2 linked regions of the Yarrowia lipolytica genome follow. The protein of the gene in region 1 purifies or fractionates together with the protein of each later gene. This does not show direct contact. Links are inferred from orthologs where the notes say so. Each region holds a gene or a part of one and is shown in the gene's direction. Other genes may lie near its edges.

Region 1 (3,200 bases):
AACGAGAACCAATTGCCAGTGCTCCAATTTCCAATCGCATCATTATGTGATGTTGAACGGTCCGCGTGGTCTCTTTCCCTGTGTGCAACTACCGATTTGCTGAAAATAAGCTCTGGATTGGACAAGGTAAATTCAACTCGCGTTGTTATTGGGTCAAATTTAGGGTTCCAGCTTTTCCTATTTTCTCGTCATCCCTTCCTCCCGGGTTTTCCTTTTCTCCATCAGTAGTCTGAATCAAATCACCACAATGGCTCTCTTCCCATCTGTTTCCGCCATTCAGGCCTCCTTCGACCCCAACGGCGCCCGTGCTGGTGCTTTCAACGTCCGATCTTCTCTCGACAAGACCGTCGAGAAGGTCGAGAAGAAGGCTGACGCTCTCGTCTCTGATGCTAAGGCCGAGGTCGCTAAGGCCGGCGATGCCATCAAGGCCCAGAAGGCCAAGGGCATCAAGCTCTACTCCCCTGAGTTCTACGCCACCTGTGTTGCCGGTGGTATGCTCGCCTGTGGTGTTACCCACGCTCTCGTCACCCCTCTTGATCTCGTCAAGTGCCGACGACAGGTGAACCCCGCTCTCTACTCCTCCAACATGCAGGCCTGGAGATCCATCATTGCCTCTGAGGGTATGGGTGGTATCTGGACCGGTGTCGGTGCCACTCTTATCGGTTACTCTCTCCAGGGTGCTGGTAAGTACGGTTTCTACGAGCTGTTCAAGAAGAAGTACGGTGACTTCGTTGGCGCCGAGAACGCCGAGAAGTACAAGACCTTTGTCTACCTCGCTGCCTCCGCCTCCGCTGAGGTTCTCGCTGATATTCTGCTCTGTCCCTGGGAGGCCGTCAAGGTCAAGACCCAGACCACCATCCCCCCCTTCGCTACCGGTGCTTTCGATGGTATGAAGAAGATGGTCGCCGCTGAGGGTGTTGCCGGCCTCTACAAGGGTCTTACCCCCCTCTGGGCCCGACAGGTTCCCTACACCATGGTTAAGTTCGCTACTTTCGAGCGAACCGTTGAGCTCATCTACTCTTACCTGCCCTACCCCAAGAAGGACTACTCCTTCCTTGCCCAGACTGGTGTCTCCTTCCTCGGTGGTTACATTGCTGGTGTCTTCTGTGCTATTGTCTCCCACCCCGCTGATGTTATGGTCTCCAAGATTAACTCCGAGAAGCAGCCCGGTGAGTCCACCGGCCAGGCCGTCTCCCGAATCTACAAGAAGATTGGCTTCGGTGGTCTCTGGAACGGTCTCGGTGTCCGAATCGTCATGGTCGGTACCCTCACTGGTCTCCAGTGGCTCATCTACGACTCTTTCAAGGGTATTGTTGGTCTCCCCACCGCTGGTGGCGCCCCCCCTGCCCAGAAGTAAGAGTCTCGACGAGTACTTCTATAAAGTAATTTATCCACCATCCGTGGTAGTAATAGACCAAAATTATGTTGCCATCGTAGCTTTGATTTCATAGTTTTTCGTGTACGTGGTAGCGTATATATATTTTTAGTTTCCCTGTAGTGTTACTTCTGCTATTGATAAGTCATATCATCCGGGAGCATCCCTGAGGCATATCGTTGATGTCGTGAATACACGAGTAACAGTGTACGAGTATCTTTGTCATCATTATTGTTTTCCTCTCTATAATGACCCTTATTGCTTAGTCAGCCTCTTCACTCTTAATGTATCACAGCTGCAGATAAGCTTCGGCATTGAAGCTTATGCAAAAATTCTGTCCCAGCAGTAAAAAAAAAATATTTTGTGTGAGGTAACAGGTGCAGATTTCCTCTCTCATACACACAAACACAACCATGAAGTCCAGTGCATTAAAAAAGGGCCTCAAGTCCTCCAACGGAACCAAGAAGGTTGGAGTGTCTAAGACCGCCACTAAGGTCGCTGCTCCCGCCACCTCCGACGATTTCTCCAAATTCTCTTCCTCGGAGGACGAGGAACAGGATGAGGCTGGATTTGAGAGTAGTGACGACGAAGAGGAGTTTGAGAATGGAGATGACGAGGATGAGACTATGGATGATACCCCTGCTACCGTCAAGAAGACCGCAGTAGCCAAGTCCAATCGAGCTGCTGCTACCACAAAGGCATCCAAAAAGTCTGGAACCGGCGTCATCTATCTGGGTCGAATCCCCCATGGTTTCTACGAGGAGCAGATGCACTCATATTTCAGCCAGTTTGGTGATATTTCTCGACTGCGTCTTTCCAGAAACAAGACTACCGGTGCCTCCAAGCATTACGCCTTCATCGAGTTCGAGTCCAAGGAGGTGGCCCAGGTAGCTGCCGAGACCATGAACAACTACCTGCTCTTCGGCCACATTCTTAAATGCAAGGTTGTTCCTGACGATGAGGTTCACGAGGCTCTCTTTGAGGGAGCTAACAAGACTTTCCGAGTCCTGCCAAGAGCTCAGGTTGCTCAGTACAAGAATGAGAGACCCCGATCCCGAGCAAAGTGGGACCAGCTCAAGAAAGAGTCTGCATCTCTGCTCGATGCCAAGCTGAAGAAGCTTGGTGAGATGGGTATCGATTACAAGTACACCCCCGTCTCTGACGTCCGAGTGCCCAAGAAGGCTGCTGCCGGAGTCGCCGAGGGTGCAAAGAAGAAGAAGCAGAGAACTTCTCTGGCTTAGTTTAGAAAGAAAAGTCTCATGTTGGATCTTGGAGTCGGAATTATCTTATTGTTGCATGTCTCGTATATTTATGGGGAAACATATTACTACTAGTTAGGTCTAATAAACCTGTAATATTAATAATGAGCTTTATATCTTGTAGTTGGAATCATGGACAGTCAGTCTTGAGCGTAGATACGTAATTCGTATGTCGCAAGTTATCGTTACTCTGGCTCCTTTGTTCGATGCTTGGTGCTACTGGATTGGTCTGCTCAATGCTCACGGTTGATGGATCTATGACCGATATCTAATTATTAGCTAAGTGTATTAAAATTATTATTTCCAGACGTTGGCAAAAACGTCATCCTCCTGCTTCTTGGGAGCGGCGGCATCGGCCCAGTCGTTGTGAGCGTTGTTCTGCTGCTGAGGAGCTCCACCAAACCCGCCAAATCCGCTGTTAGCCTGTTGCATGTTCCCAAAACCGCTGTTGGTCTGTTGCTGCATGTTTCCAAAACCTCCAAAGTCCCCTCCCTGTTGCTGCTGGAACTGTGGTTGCTGCTGTTGGAATTGCTGCTGAGCTTGGAACTGCTGCTGTTGAAACTGCT
Region 2 (3,189 bases), on another chromosome or scaffold:
CTGATAGTCTCATCACGTTTGATTTCGGCCAAAACATTTGTGGCGTCGTCACTCTCAAATTTGGACCCAGAAGCTCAAAGACAATTCTGGGACTCGCCTTCTCCGAATCAAGCGATTTCGTTGGCAGAAACTCGGACAAATCTGTCGACTTCAAGGTCACCGATGGCCACGTGACTGTCGAGGTATACCCAGGCATCTCCGAATACACAATGCCTGTGGAGAAGCTGAGAGGAGCATTTAGATACCTGACAGTGTTTGTAGCGAGCAAAACCCGTGACTGCATTGCACATGTGACATCTGTGTCTTGCAAAATGACCCAGATGCCTTCTTCTGCCTCCCTCAACAAATACTCTGGGTTTTTCCACTCCAGTGATCCTCTGCTGAACAAAATTTGGTACGCTGGAGCTTACACTATCCAGCTTGCGACCATATCGTCAGTCCAGGGTCGCAAGAGTGACTACGTCGTCAAATCTCGTGGATGGGACAATTCTGGTCATGTAAGTCAGGGCCTGGAGGTGCTTACTGACGGTGCAAAGCGAGACCGTAGCGTCTGGTCTGGTGATCGGCTCATTAGCACTTCAGTTTACCACTGTGCTTTCGGAGGTGTCAATTCGGCTGCCACCGCAACTGCAATTGATTGGATTTTTGCGGGCCAACAGCCTGATGGACGTCTTCCTTACGCTTGCAAGCCTGCTGATCTTTACGGCTCCGATACCTTCCACTTGTGGGGGTTACTGGGCTTGTATGAGCTGTGGCAACACAGTGGAGATTTCCAGCGAGTGCGAGAATTATGGGTTCCGTTCAAAAAGGGAGTGGAACTGGGTATGAGCTGGATCGACTCTGACTACGGACTGGCCAAGATTGTTTGTGGTCTTGATTGGGGCCGGTCTGTACTTCAGGGTCATTCTCTTTCTTTGAACGTGCTTCTTTATGCCTGCTTAGTGTGCTCGGTCGAGATTGGCAACCTCTTGGGAGAGCCTGAAGCTCAACTAGCTATCTGGATCAATACCGCTGAGAGTCTGCACGTGCGTATCAACGAGCTGCTCTGGGACGCAGAGAAAGGTCTCTTCAAAGATAACCTCTCGTCAACACTCTACCCCCAAGATGGCAACTGCCTGGTAATTTACTATGGGGTGTGTGATGGTGAACGGTCAAAGACTGTTTCTGAGAGGCTCTTTGCTCGTTGGAACCAATTTGGACCTATCAACCCTGAGAGTAACGGCATGATCAGCACATTTATCAGTGGTATTGAGGTTATGGCTCATCACCAAGCTGGAAGAACCCTTAGAGCACTAGCTCTTATTCGCCAGACCTGGTCTTACGCTCTGTCTGCGCCCTGGAGTGTCAAATCCAGTCTTGTGGAGGGCTTCTATAAGGACGGAACCTGCTCTTATCCGTCCGATAAGCATGACAGCAGCTACATCAGCCACAGCCACCCCTGGTCTACAGGTCCCACGAGCTTTCTCAGCTACAAAATCTGTGGACTGCGCTTCACCAACCCCAACCACGTGACCTGGACTCTTCAGCCTACTCTGGCTGATTTGGATTTCTGCATTACTGGGTTTACTTCGGCCAAGACAGGGTATCTCGTTGGAGGGTGGAAGCGGGACTCGAAGAACCTGCTCCAGATTGCAGTAAAGTCTACTCCAGGGACTATTGGCGAAATTTGTGTCCCTCTCATTCTCGGTAAGCAGCTGAAGATGACTGTCAATGGTGTCAATGTGAATCTGTTGAATCTCGAGATGGACGAAGGATGGGCGTATGTCAAGGGGATCGAGGGCGGTTGCCATACCGTCTACGCTTGGTATCTAGACTAGCAGATTGGTCTTGGTTTACCAATTGACATAATTACAAAGTAAATTTCTTTAATCGCATCTATCGGAATTGAACACACAAACTCTTCACGCCACATACATTATCTTCATAAAATTATTCCAACCTTAAAAAAATTGTGCATGCACGAGCCGTAGATTTCGATTCTCGACCAGAGCACCAGACCTATACATCTCATACACACGCCATGGTCCCCAAACGATTTCGAAAGGAGAACGCCGGCGCGCGAGAGGTCAAGAGTGAGGTTTTCGGCGACAAAAAGGCTCGAAACCAGCTCGCACACACCTCGAAAAACTACGACAACGCCAACGAGCAGCCCCGCAAGTTCAAGAACCGGGTGGCCAAGCCCAAAGACAACGGCAAGCCCAAGGTCAAGAAGGCCCGAGTGTACACAGAAAAGGAACTGGGAATCCCCAAATTGAACACGGCCATCGATCCCGAGGGAGCCAAGAAGGCACTGAGAGGCAAGAAGGGCAAGAAGTTTGTGGATAACGACCAAATGAACCTGTTAGTTAGCATTGTCAACGAGAAGATTGACTCTCGAAACGCCAGTAAGCTGGAAAAGGCCCGTCAGCTGGAGATGATCCGAGAGCAGAAGCGAAAGGAGATTGAGAAGCGAGAGGCTGAGAAGGAGGCCGAGATCGAGCAGAAGAAGAAGGAAATCAAAAAGACCAGCCGAGGCAAGAGTGCTGACAAAGTGCAGAAGAAGATGGAGGAGCTCAAGAAGAAGGAGGAGGGCAAGGGAAATTCCAAGAAGAAGAGCGTCAGCTTTGCTTAATTATCGGGAGGTATATACTATATGCATTTGTTTATCTGGAGGGATGAGGGGAGACGAGGACGGTAGTTGTGATTCCGGGAGTATTTCAAGAGGTACAGCATCTTTTGAAGTTTGAAGGTAATTGACGGTAATTGACGAGATGTCTGTCAGAATCTCTTTCTGACGAATGAGCAAGCCCACACCCTTCTGGTTTGTGCTACTCTCGGACGTGGTGTTCTCAGAAGTGGGCTGTAAGGCGTTCCATTGACTATATCTAATCAATCATACATATGAACAACAATTTGATCTTGAAGGTGGAACGGGTATATAGAGTAATCAACGAGTTGTTGGATGGGATATCTGTAGTATATATGAATCAACTGTACAAGTACAAGTACAAGTGGGAGTACTTGTACTTGTACTCTATTTTTTTTTACATCAATACATCAATACTTCCTAAGGCTGTATATACTATTGGCAACAACTGTTTAACCAGGTGTTCTCAGCTTACACAAGTATACACTTGCTACAGTTTGTACTTGTATATATAAAAATTCTGAGCTACAAGTACATACTGCAGTCACTTTTCGAGACGACGT

Evidence for each region. Proteins that work in one complex are often made in the same cells at the same time.
Region 2: the proteins of YALI1_F19106g (region 1) and YALI1_D24941g purify together in Saccharomyces cerevisiae (affinity purification with mass spectrometry; 3 studies listed by BioGRID, with this or other methods). This does not show direct contact. The link is inferred for Yarrowia lipolytica from reciprocal best matches to the Saccharomyces cerevisiae genes NOP15 and LOC1.

What each region holds. Positions count from the first base shown.
Region 1 is NC_090775.1:1,908,816-1,912,015, forward strand, and holds YALI1_F19106g (uncharacterized protein), read left to right. Parts: upstream 1-1,788; coding exon 1,789-2,616; downstream 2,617-3,200. Other genes in the region: YALI1_F19090g (uncharacterized protein), read left to right, coding at 248-1,357; YALI1_F19126g (uncharacterized protein), read right to left, coding at 2,932-3,200. UniProt on the Saccharomyces cerevisiae protein: Involved in the biogenesis of the 60S ribosomal subunit. Required for pre-rRNA processing and cytokinesis. Associates with the precursors of the 25S and 5.8S rRNAs.
Region 2 is NC_090773.1:2,492,063-2,495,251, forward strand, and holds YALI1_D24941g (uncharacterized protein), read left to right. Parts: upstream 1-2,020; coding exon 2,021-2,611; downstream 2,612-3,189. Other genes in the region: YALI1_D24918g (uncharacterized protein), read left to right, coding at 1-1,817. UniProt on the Saccharomyces cerevisiae protein: Required for efficient assembly and nuclear export of the 60S ribosomal subunit. Involved in asymmetric localization of ASH1 mRNA.